2 linked regions of the Saccharomyces cerevisiae S288C genome follow. The protein of the gene in region 1 purifies or fractionates together with the protein of each later gene. This does not show direct contact. Each region holds a gene or a part of one and is shown on either strand. Other genes may lie near its edges. The genes, in order: MNN5 and YGL140C.

What was found.
Region 2: the proteins of MNN5 (region 1) and YGL140C purify together in Saccharomyces cerevisiae (affinity purification with mass spectrometry, with the first as the bait; one large-scale study listed by BioGRID). This does not show direct contact.

The regions. Positions count from the first base shown.
Region 1 is NC_001142.9:76,571-82,415, forward strand, and holds MNN5 (alpha-1,2-mannosyltransferase MNN5), read left to right. Parts: upstream 1-3,584; coding exon 3,585-5,345; downstream 5,346-5,845. Other genes in the region: tyrosine protein kinase SWE1, read right to left, coding at 233-2,692; ATG36 (Atg36p), read right to left, coding at 5,525-5,845. UniProt on the Saccharomyces cerevisiae protein: Responsible for addition of first and second mannose residues to the outer chain of core N-linked polysaccharides and to O-linked mannotriose. Implicated in late Golgi modifications.
Region 2 is NC_001139.9:239,698-247,380, reverse strand, and holds YGL140C (uncharacterized protein), read left to right. Parts: upstream 1-2,368; coding exon 2,369-6,028; downstream 6,029-7,683. Other genes in the region: FLC3 (putative flavin adenine dinucleotide transporter), read right to left, coding at 1-1,665; ubiquitin-ubiquitin ligase HUL5, read right to left, coding at 6,296-7,683.

The sequences.
Region 1 (5,845 bases):
ATATATATATATATAATATAATTTAACGGTTGTTATCTGCTACATCTGTAAAATAAAAATAAAAATGCTTGAAGCGGCTGTACTTAAAATAAACTCATCTAAGGTTTTACATGGTATTACTACCGGACTGCAATTACACTCTTTTTCGTTATTGGATTATTTATACAATGCGGCCCATAAGCACGTGTGGGAAAAAAGTATGTAAATAAAACAAGGTTTTTTGTTCCATTTATCATATAAAAAATTTTGGCTTAGGTCCAAAGTCGTCTTCCTGGATAATAGCACCTGCATTGCGTGTCATTTCTACATACAGGCATTCCTCAGTTTGTAAGATTTGATTTGCCGTGGGCCTTCTCTCATAATTGGGCTCTATCATCCATCGTACTATTCTCTCAAGTGATTCACCATCAATAAGAAATTTCGGTACCCATGCGGGAATTTTAGAACTTTTATGCAAAATAAGACGATTCTTGGTAGCGGCAGTATTGACATTATTATTATCGTTGCCATTATTCATATTAGGGTTGTTGATATTACTATTGTTATGAACAGTGGAGGTGCCAGCGTTGTTACTATTACCACTGATATTGTCTCTTTCAAAATCAAATAAATCATTTGTATCTACTTTCGTAATGTCTGAAAATAATGATTCAGAATGAATATCTGTGGAACTTAATCTTCCTGCATCCGATAAATCACCCGATCTCAACTTATGCCATGCGTTGCCATTGTCAGGTAACACAACGTTCGCTGCAATTTCAACAATCATCAGACCCAGGGAAAAAATATCTGCCTTGTAATCGTACGTACAATCAGAAATGATTTCTGGTGCAATATATTCTCTGTCACCTTCATTTTCAAAACTTTTATCCTCCAACGGTAAATGAGTAGCCATTCCAAAGTCACCTAGTTTTAGGTTACCTTCAAATGTGATCATGACGTTTGCGGGTTTCAAGTCCAGATGCACAATGTGACAAGAATCATGGATGAATCGTAAAGCCAGGCTTAATTCCACGATGATTTTCCAAATTCTCCAATCTTCCAACCTTTTTTTCTTTGCGATAACTTGCTCTTGTAAAAATCCATCCAAATTACCATTTTCGCACAATTCTGTCATAATATAGTATGAATTTTGAAACTTCCAGGAACTGATGTAATCGATGATGTATTCCTTCCCTTCTTGATCCATTGTAATTTGGTTTGTTACCTCGTTTAGTATTTTAATTTCCAGTAATATGCGTTTCAAGGAATTATATTTGTTTGGTTTAATGGCTTTGATTGCATACTTTTTGTTTGTTTGGGCAAACGTAACCTGGTAGACCGTGGAAAACTGGCCTTTACCAATGGAATGCACATTCGTAAATTTTTCGAAAAGATGGGAATCTGGATTTGCTGATAACTTATTTGAAGAGATTAGACGCCTTTTGGAATTTAACGGCGAAGAATCGGTGGAAGATATGGAATGCGTCTCTGCACTTGTTGTGTTTGTCACGATGGCAGAGGAGAGTGACAATGGTCTGCTTTCTCTATGTGTTTGAGATGTTGCCCCAATAATAGATTTTCGTCTTGTTGGAGTGGAGATCTCTTCGTCAGTGTCATTGTCATAGCGTCCACGAAATTGATAAGGTTGAGGGTTCTTTCTAGTTGAATGATGACTTGATATTATGATTGGAGGTGGGAAATTCTCGTCCGTGCCGTATAAATCATCTTTGAATTGTTGTAAACTGTTTGTTAGCTCTCTATTTTTCAAAATAACCGAATTCCTTGCTCTTTTGATTTTTTTGAACTTGTTAGAATGCAATGTTTGTGGAGAGCTGTTGGTAACCAAGCTATTAGTGGGAGACAGGATGTTTGTCTGGTTATTGTGACGATCATGTGCATGATATTTTGCCTCGCTCAGTGGGGATGAGTCTATGGTTGGTACATGGATGGAAGGTAAAGCTTTCGAAGACGGAGAATCTGAAAATAAAAGGTCTTCTTGTAAATTATTGTCTTCAACAAAATTTAAAGGGGAAACACTTAGAGAAGACGATGCATTTTTCGAACTCGAAAGGTGGACATGCTTATGGTCTCTTCCCTCCACTAAGGGTGATTTTTTCACTGGTGTTTCTGGTATCCTCAATTTCGCAGGGTATAACGAAGTGTCCATAGACATTTTAGATACGAGGCCCGAAGACGTAAAGGCTGATTGGTTAGGTTTAGCGACGCTATATGAAGAGGATGAGGATGTATTTTCAGTGCGAGCATCATTTTTCGGAAACCATCGCTGGTTCCATTGTTTGAGAGAAATAGGACTGTTCGTTTTTTCCGCAGATCTTTTTGTAATAGGAGTAGTAACACTTTCATTTTCATGGAACGGAGACCACCTTTTAATACGAGAATCCACGCTTTCCTCATCCTTGCCTTCTTCCTCCTCTTCTTCCTCTTCTTCAATTTTCCCAAGAAATTTGGAGTTAGCCTCTGACAAAGCTGTATTACTTAATGACAGGTTCAAGGTCCCCGTACTTCTTGTCAATTTGTTGTTCGAATATGGATAAAATTTCAGTTTATTGGTCGGGGTGCTACCCCCTATAGCAAAATCATCACTCTCGTCTTCGCCGGCCTGTTTGCCAAACATCTTCTTCCCCATAAACTGGAGGTTCTCCGTGTCCAGCATTTCGAAGTCCTCTTCATCCTCGTCCAAAGAACTCATCTGTTCTCGTGTGCGCCTGTGTGTGTTTACTTTTCCCCAGCACTACGCAATCAAAAATAGTAAGACCTGTTCAGTAGTAATCCTTTTTTTATTGGACTAACTGCGCAAGATGATGTGCAGGATAGTTAACACACGCATACATACAAAAAAGAGCCTCTTGGACAACCTTTACTTAATACACAGGGGCACGCCAATGTTCAACTGTGTTGTTGATTTCTTATCCAGCATTCTTTTACTTCTCTGCATTTTTTTCGCGTCGCGTCGCAAATTGTGATGGTTAAAAGAAAAATGAAAAAATATTTTTCGCGTCGTTATCACCCGGAGGAATAAAAAAAAGAAACATACACATCACGTGACCACAAGAATGTTAGAAAGGCTTACCAGTACTAGAGACGTTAATAAATTGCGAATAGCCCCCTATCTCCCACATGTTGGCATCTGTGAGGTGGAACCTATTTAAAGGTGCCACATTTCTTTCCTTAGAGGACGATGGTTGCAAGATCAGCACAAATCCATAGTTTGATGCATGGAAAGCGAAGCACTCTAACAGAAGTAAGATAATAAACAATCTCACGATTCTACTGATTTAAGTGCAACTAGCTCTTGGGCTTCTTTTGGTTGCCAAGTCGGAATAGACGACAGATGCATGTTTCGGTGCAGAGTTCAGAGAGATAAGTGCCTTCTTTTATCTTTTTCCCCGTTCTTGCGGATTTTTTTTTTCACTTTCTCATCGGCGGGGAAAAAAAAGTGTAACAACTAAAGGATCAACACGGCTTTAAAGTGTTTTATATATACGCAGATATGAAAAAAGCATTTTCACGGTTATTGGAAATTTTTATTTTACGACTGGTTCCTAGCACAACAAGAGGATATACTAATAGTTCAGGTTACAATGCTGATTAGGTTAAAGAAGAGAAAAATCCTGCAGGTCATCGTGAGCGCAGTAGTGCTAATTTTATTTTTTTGTTCTGTGCATAATGATGTGTCTTCTAGTTGGTTATACGGTAAAAAGCTTAGATTGCCGGTTCTAACAAGGTCGAACCTTAAAAACAATTTTTACACAACACTGGTACAAGCCATCGTGGAAAACAAGCCGGCAGATTCGTCTCCGGACTTGAGTAAGTTGCATGGGGCGGAAGGGTGTAGCTTTGCAAATAACGTTGCTGCACACGACTCTGGACACGATAGTGACTTAAGTTACGAGAGCTTGAGTAAATGCTATAATTTGAATAAAACAGTACAAGAAAGCCTACGAGAAGTGCACAGTAAGTTTACAGACACCTTATCAGGGAAACTGAATTTTTCCATCCCACAAAGAGAGGCACTTTTCTCAGGTTCTGAGGGCATTGTCACCATTGGAGGTGGAAAGTATTCTGTGCTCGCGTATACGATGATCAAAAAGTTGAGGGACACGGGTACTACATTGCCTATTGAAGTCATCATTCCGCCTCAGGACGAAGGCGAGGATGATTTTTGTAAGAACTGGTTGCCGAAATTCAATGGTAAGTGCATTTATTTCTCAGATATCGTTCCTTCAAAGCCATTAAGCGATTTAAAACTCACGCACTTCCAGTTGAAAGTCTTTGGGTTGATAATTTCCAGTTTCAAGCGTATTATCTTCTTGGACGCAGATAACTATGCGGTGAAAAACCTTGACCTTGCTTTTAACACTACATCCTTCAACGATACTGGCCTGATATTGTGGCCCGATTTTTGGAGACGTGTCACCCCTCCCGCCTTTTACAACATTATAGGATCTAGCATTAACATCGGCAAAAGAGTCCGTTTTGTTAGTGACGATATTTCCCCCGTGTCACGTTATGATCCATTTGTTAGTAACTCAAACGATTACACTCCAAAGGAGAGACAGGAGCATTTCCTGAAACATGTTCCCTTACATGATCTGGACGGCACGATGCCAGACTTGAGCTCTGAATCAGGCCAGATGGTGATTGATAAGATTCGCCATTTCAACACTCTATTACTGGCGCTATACTATAATGTTTATGGGCCTACCTGGTATTATAAGATGATTTCTCAAGGCACTGCCGGTGAAGGTGACAAAGACACTTTCGTCGCTGCTGCCCATGCCTTGAATATGCCATACTATCAAGTGAGGACTAACTTTGAATTTGATGGTTTCTTCTATCAAAAAGATGATTACAAGGGTCTCGCCTTGCTCCAGCATGATTTTGAACAAGATTACAAGCAATACCAAAAGGCGCAGCAGAAAGTTAAAGCCAACATTGAGGAATTTTCCAAACTGGATCCAGATTATACTTTGGACAATGGTTTCTTGAAAACTTTGATGGTTAATGATGACGGTTCTGATTTGGATATCATGTTCATTCATGCCAGTTTCTACAAGGCAGATCCATGGACTCTTTATCATGAAAACAGATTTATCGGTCCAAATGGCGAACAAGTACGGGGCTTCAGGAAGCCGCATCGCTATGGAATGGATTTTGAATTGTTTTTATTCAATGATATGAGGGGGTCCTTCTGTACCACTCCGAAAAGCCAAGTTATTAAATTCAAGTATTTTACCGATAAAGTTAATACCCCAGAATGGGATGCAATGTGTGAGTATTTGACCAATCATGTTAATTATCTGGAGAGCACACACAAAGAAGCTATGGGGGAGAAAAACTAATGAAGTGATTAACTATAATAATTTAATAATAACTCGCCATCCGACCTTGTATAATATAATGTAGCATATATGTGCACGGATATATATACATCTTAGAAAAAAATGAAAAAATGAAACCAAGAAAAAACTAACTGATGGTGTTCGGACAACGTTTTAGAATGAGGGTATCTAACTTTCTTCTACCATTCTCTGTCCAAAAACCTAGAAAGTAAAGTCCAGCCAAACCAAGATGTGTTTTCCAACGACGAAGACGCTGCGCTTGGTGAACGGTTTAATGTTTCTCCAGTGCTCTCATCTGTAAATCGTGACCGCGATGACGAATCTATATCTACGTCTGACAACCTGTCGAATTCAAGAGGCATCGAGTAGTAATTGAAAATAAAGTCACGCTGGGGGAAAAAAGATGGTATATCGTCAAATATTCTTTCATGATGGTATGTCAATAATTGCCGGCGAGTTTTCTCGCGGTAGCATGTTCTTAGAATTGGATACAAGTCTCT
Region 2 (7,683 bases), on another chromosome or scaffold:
AATAGCAGCCACTTTGTAGCTTTGGTTAAACAAGTCCGAAAAAAACATGAATAGAAAGGAATTAACTACAGTAACAGTAGCAATTAAAATATTCATTATGTTTGTTGGACGGTCCAGATAGGGCTTATAGTAGATAATAGCAACGAAGTAAAACAAATCCAATATGAACATGAAAAGAACTTGTGTTTGACCAGAAGCCTGAGCAAATCCAACCAATAATGATTTTACAAAAATGTAGGATAAAAGAACAATGTTCCACCAGTAATGATTGGCATTGAACATTGTATAGAAAAATCCGTATTTGTGTAAGACATATTCATCTCCATACAATAAGGCTGCTGGGTTGTTGTACAATGCAACAGATCTTCTTGCGAAAAAAACAGTCCTCCATGCAGCCCAAAGCATTAACCCACATGACAAAAGAATAAAAAGGCATGCGATGACGATAACAGCAGGTGAATCTCTTTCAGTAAATTCCCAAAAACTGAGAATTGTTAACTGAACGAAACCGATGTAAATATATCTTAAAAGAGCACCTTTTAAGATCATTCTCCATTGTTTCCTGAATTCCCAAAACCTTGCCTTTTGGATCCATCCTAACCGGGTGGCTAACTCCACACAGCATTTGAATACTATGATAAATCCAGCCAACACATATCCACATAAGACGAAGAAAGTAAAACCGGTACAAACGATGGACGTATTTTCGATTCCCATTTTATAGCCTAGCCTTTTGATTCCTCTAAAAATTAATGTATTTGCATTACCATACAAAACATTGGTAGCTCTTTTGATTAATGGGAGCTCCATCAAATATTGCCAACTTCTTTGAGCCAAAACAGACATAGATGTTGAAGTCAGATATAAGCTAGGCGTACCACCAGTGGATTGCACATACCACCGGAAAATCCTTTGCATGAATGAGATTCTAATTAACCCCATTGACCAAACCAAGTTTTCCGCCCAGGCGGCTGCAATAGGCGGAACTCGATGAACATGTTGCATGGCAACCACGACAACAGATTGGAAGTATAAGAAAAGTGACATTGTGTTGGCAGAAATATGTGAGGCTGCGGTAGAGTTCCCAAAAGTGGATAAGATGGCAGATAGTAAAAGACCAATTCCCGCTACCACTGCAGTTGCCCATTTTACACCAATCTGAGAAACTGTTTTACCGTTTGAGAAGTATATTTGGATACATGCTAGGTACTCGCTCACATTGTTGGTGATCTTGACCCTGGCATATGCGTCGATATCGGGGACTTGGTATGCAATACCAGGAATTTCATTTACGTACTCACTGGAGATGTATTCAATAGAGTCGATCTGAATATTACCTGGGTGAACCGGGCAAAACTGTTTCCAGTTGATTGAACAAAGATCGACATTTTTAGTAATGATCTTGAAACCATATGCGTAGACATCAATATCAGCAAAAATATATGAATCAATTTGAGTTGACATATCAAGATCATAATGTAATGACCTGTCGTCTGGATTGAAAACAACGTCAAAACTATTTGCTGACAGCTGCGAGTTTTCCATACATGTGACCAATGATGTGGCTACCAGCTTCCTTTTTGCCTCTGCAAGATTTACTTTACTGGCTAACAATATTATTAGTCCAATTAATGCCGATGATTTATAAACCTGAAGAAATCTCATGCCTGTGAGGGGTATACTTTTCTAGTCTCCACTATTTGTTGTTGTTGTTGTTGTTGTTGTTGTTGTTGTTGTTGAAATTTTTTTATTTATGGCCCGCTCGTAAATAAAAAGACCTTTCTTAGCTATACTTTGCAAAGAAGTTTTCTAGTACCCACCAATGTTGATTGGCACTCTATAACGAATGACGTCTTCGAATTGTTTTGTTGTCTTTTGAGCGTTGATCTTCTGGAAAGCGGATGAACAGAAGCGTTTTTGAGTTAATTTGATAGCGTCCGTAAGCTAGTAAATGGCACGGACAGCAACAGTATTCAGATATTCTTTTATCCCCAATCCCAACGAAGACTACCTTTTCATAGTCAACAGTTAAAGGAATCAACTATTTGAAGCTAAAGCGATGGGCCGCTGCTAGGGAAAAGGAAGCAACCATTACCCTCCTCATAAAATTGATAGGTCTTCAAAAGGCTGAGACTGATAAGAACTACCAGTTTGATGTCTAAAGAAAGAAAAGAGAAATCCAGGATCTACCTTCATCTCTATTAACACCTGCTATCGAGAGGTTATAATTGTGGTTGTGGCCTAACTACGTATCATACACTATTTTTACTTTATTCCTATCCTATCCTGGAGTTCGAAGAGAACATATTTTCAAGCGAGAAAATCTTCCTTATCCTTTGCATCAATTGCTTGACTTCATTATTTGTCCATGTCGCTTAAATCAAAGTTGACTAAGATTCAGAAGTTATGGCTGTATTATTTCCCCTGTGACAGAATCCTCGCGAAGAGAATATGTAAATCGACTGTTAATACTACGGTAGCTTTCATATTTTGCTTGATACCTAAGATAACTGCGCATTTGGGAGCAGCTCCTGCGATGCTGCCAATGATTTCTGTTATTGTTCACCCTGGAAGAAGGGTCGGGGGTACTATCCATGGTGCTATCTATTGCATAACTGGATTGATATTTGGCCTAGCTTACGCAATCTTCGGCCGGTTCCTTGCGCAGCGATGTTTAGGGAGTTCTTGGCATGAGCTAACAGAGGCACAGCAGCACGTATTGCACTATAAAAGATATGAAGCGGGATTAGCAATTTTGGCTGTTTTCGAAGTAATTATGCTTTTTTTTCATGGTTGGATGAGATCTGTATCACACTATTACTTTGGTATTGTTTTCCCACTTTTTGTCGTGGTTCATTTCGCATTTATGGATCCTTTGAATGAAACAGCAGGCACTATTGCTAAAGCTTATAGTACGCCTTTCTACCTGGGTATTGCAATGTCGATTTTCTGGAATCTTGTGTTGTTTCCTGAGTGGGGTACCACATATTTGGGTAATACGACTATTGATGCTATGAATGAGCTCCATAAGTCCATTGACTATTCGATAAATTTCTTCATTGCAGTTGACCCGCACAATAGTAGCCAGTTGTACAGTAGAGATCCTGTTTCGTTAGGCAAGCTATTGAAGATGAAGTCACTGATTTCTTCTAAAGTTAACAACTGTCGAGTAGTACTTCACGAGTGCATTTATGAGTTTACTTACGCTTATGTTTCGCCAACTAAACTAAAGCCAATCATATCTACTTTGGAAAATTTGACAGTCTTCATTAATGGATTAGTTAATACATGCCAATTAGAATTTATTTTATTGGCAAGACATGATAACAAGCTCAGGCCTGATGATGTCGCAGCTTTGACACTGCCAAAGAACAAAGAAATCAGCTTTGCAAATGCTGAGAAGTTGTTGAAAGTTATTGACAAGTTGCATCCAGTGATTTATAGTCTACACCGGACAATGAGTGAATGCATGTACATAGCAAAGTTGGTACTTGCTCATGCATTTGATGTGAAAGTTTCAAGGGTTCATTCCTGCTCAATGTTCAAAGATGGTAACTTCCCAACATTCAGTAATAACGCCAATAATCTGCCCAATGATGTTGACATCCAGAACAAGATCAATGACCTGAAGCAGGCGTTAGAAGAATGTAAAGCAAAATTCAAGTCAGAAATGTTAAGTTTTGATATTGATATTATGAGTCCTAGTGATGAAATGTTTTTGTTGTCTAGCTTTCTACTAAATTTTAGGCAAACTGCAGATTCAACTTTGGTAATTATGGAGTCCGTCAAGGACATTTTAGTCAAACGTCAAATACAAGAGAAGAAGGGCTGGCTGAGAGGCAAAAGACTTTGGTTTTTAGTGTTGACCAACTACGAGACATTTTCTATCTGGTTAAAAGGCGATAGGAACTCAGTGACTGAAAATGATACATTAAAGGGTACGTTCAATGGTAATACTAATGGTTTTGCTCATGACACAGTTATTAGAAGGCCTGATTATGAAGAGAATGAACTTTTATCTCAAAAAGTTTCATCGAATAAGAACATTGTAAAAGATGATGCATCGCTAGATCTGCCAATGACAAGTGAACCCAAAGGAAATTCATCTTCTACCTCTGACACTTCTTCGTCGCCATTAACGTTAACGAAAACAACTACGTTCGGAACTAATAGAACTTCCAGGAGGCAAGGCAGATTTTCTTTTATGTCCATGCTTATTTCAATTGATAAGTTTTGTGAAGTGTCACATCCTCACTTTAGATTTGGATTTCAGGTAGCCATTGCATTAATGCTGGCTTCATTTCCGATGTTTATTCCAAAGACAAGGCAGTGGTACATAGACTATCGTGGTACCTGGATTGGTTTCGTGTGCATACTTTGTTTGGAACCTTCCGTAGGAGGTACGTTCTGGGTCTTCTTTTTGCGTGCTGTGGGGGTTATTTTTGGAGCAGCCTGGGGTTATCTTTCCTATGTTGCTGCTGTCAACCAAACCAATCCATATTTGGAGACAGTCATCACAGTTTTTGGAGCCATTCCTGGGTTTTACTATTTATTAGGCACACCCTATGTGAAGGCTGCAATTATTGAAATTATTAGTATTTATATTGTTATGCTTGCAGCAATACTTCCCTCCCAAGATGATATATTGACTAGTTTCGCCAAGAGATGTTTAGCTGTCGGCTATGGTGGAGGGGTAGCATTAATAGTTCAAGTCTTTTTCTTTCCATTGAAGGCACGGGAACAATTAAATGAAGAGATTTCTTTTGTCTGTGGCTGTATATCGGAAATGGAACTTCTCTACGCCACCGGACTGGAAGGAGAGCAAGTCGCAAGTAGTATGAGTGAAGAGAAATACAAAAAAATCGAAAAGATATCAAAAAGTGCTAAAGAGGCGTTAGCCCGTGCTACGGCCTATAAAGGACTAACCAGACAAGAGCCGAGATTAAAGGGTGAATATACCGAGTTGGAAAATGTTTTCACTCAAGTTATATTTATTCAGAAGCAAATAATAGAGAGGATAGATACAATTTCCTTGCTGAGAAAGCAAAATGGAAGTGCGGTTATTGAAGAATTTAACAGTGTTGTATATCCATATCGACGCCAAATGGTTGGAAGTATTTCTTGCCTAATGAGAGCACTTCAAGAGGCATTTATAAATAAGACCCCGTTACCGCAATTTTTGCCCAGCGCAAGAATTGCACATAGAAGGCTGATTAATAAAGTGCGCCAAACTCTGCGAATAAGATATCCTGGGCAGATTTCAAATTTAAGTGATAAAGCAAGAAAGCCAAATGAAGGAGATTACGCTGACGGCAAGGATGAAGATGACGATGATAACGAAGGTTTGGTAATGAAAATGAATAGAAGGGGACAGGCCAACACAACAGCTAATCCTCATGAATATGTTTTAAAAGAAAAATTTTTAAGTTGGAACGCATCTAGTGCTGCATCGGAAGAAATAATTGAGTATATTGAAGAGCTGTTGAATTTAACTAAAATTCTGGTCGGTGTAAATGAGTTTAAATACGGGTTTTTATCGCGTCCACTTTACGAGGACTGGGCTGCAGAGGCAGTAACAGGATTTGATAATTTCATTAACGGGAAAAGCAATCCTATGAATACACGGCGCAATCGGACCCCATTTGATGGTACTTCCATCATTTCCGAAGGAAATGAAAGTTTACAAAGTACAAATTCTAATGAATCTCAAATTTCTCCTGATTCCACAAGAAGTTATGAGCCGGAATGTCCAGTGGCATACGAAAAAAATGATAATCCGGCAGCGTTGAATTTATTACGGATTGCTTCTCATAAAGCAGGCCAAAACGCGGATGGCTTACCAAAGACATTTAGAAATAGAGCATTTTCCATTACTTCTACCTCCGGCCAACTTTCAAGCTTAAGCAGACACAGCACCCTTGGTAATGCGGATCCTAATTATCTGAACGATGATGATGAAAGCTCTGATGATGATTTGCCATTAGCTTTGAAAATGGTGCTAAGTCACATGAAAGAAAAGAAGGACTAAGATATTGAAAAGTCCTAATGTAAGATAATTACCAATTTCATATTCATTGTCGATTTCACTTCGCTTAAAGAATTTTTACTGTTTGTTTTTTGTAAAGCCTTTCCAATAAAAAATAGAATGATAGATAAAGGTCATAACTAGAATGGTGGCGAACAAAGCAAAACTTAAATTATCTCTGCATACAAGCGTATAATTTCCTTATCTATAGTAATATATAAGAACTAGAAATCTGCCTATTAATTAATTACCTCCCTAATCTTCTGGGAATTATGATAAGTCAAACCTGGCGCCTGAGTTTATTGCATATAATAATTTCTCTCTCAAAATTGTTTTGTTTCTATAATCTGGCAATTTTAATAAATTAACACAGGTAGATGCCGTAGGCAGCCTGTATTTCTCTGTCCCTGCATTTCTGATACCAAATTTTGGATCTAATGCCTTGAAGCCTTGCAGAGGAGCTTGCGGAACGGACGTGACAAATTTCAAAAAATTCAATTTCTCTTCAAACTTAAACTCATTCAAAACCTCCCAAAAATCAACAATTGTCTGATCTTCTTCTTTATAACCCCCGTATTCTGTGTTAGATTTCAGATCGTCTAAATCGATATTATCTCTCTCACCTGATATTAACATTTGTAGTTCTATAGAGTTAAACATCTCCATCCAATGTGGGGCAATGATAACACTGAGCCCTCCATGGAATGCCGAAACTGGTTTGAAGCATCTTTTGTTTAATTTGTAATCCGTTACTTTAGTAACGTAGAGCAACACATTATCCTTCGTCACGTACGTTTTTGAACCATTCGGAATTAAGTCAACAACTTTTGCGGAACTTTCAGGCTCATCTATTTCAAAGGTTAAATCTAAAGACTTGATCTCGTCAGTGGTCATGTTCAATAATTTGATCAAATTATTATACAACACCGAATCATAGCTTCCCAGATCAGAAAAAGAAGATAAAAACCCGTTCGAGTAATTCAATAATTTTTTCAAAAAGAAATCAGCAAAAGATACATCTATCAAAACATGCTCATATAGACATTTGCCTACAACCTTTCCCAGAAACCATATATACTTAAGTTTCGTAGCGTCATAAACAACAGAAGGATATAATTCGTAGCGATCATTCGTCCGAAATAACTCGTGCTTTGGATCTTTAAATCCTTCATCAGACACAGTAGTTAAAAATTCCTTGGTAATGCCGCCCCCATCAATACCAGCTTCTTCACCAAATTCATTAATAAAAGTAACATCTAATGAAGCTTTGAACCTTTCTCCTATAGAGTTAAATGCGTTGAAAGCATCTTCTAAGACATTATCCCTAGAGATGATAGCGGATTGCTTCCTCATACCGGTGGAGGCCCAGGGGGTAAACATATTGATCAAGTTGTGATCGTCATCTAAAGATAATCGCTTCTTGTCCAGTGCGATGAACATATAAAATAAGTCCACCCTTTCTTCAAAAGGAATAAAAAATGGTAATTCCAAAAGTATTTCCAACTTTCGGAAACGTAATGATGACTTTAATCTCTTTTTCATTTTGTTCAATAATAAAGACTTCAAAGGAGGCCTTTCTTTATCAAGATCTATTTCCTTTTCCATATCCTCATCACTTTCCTCTTCTAAGTGTTCTCTATACAGATCTTCGTACTCCT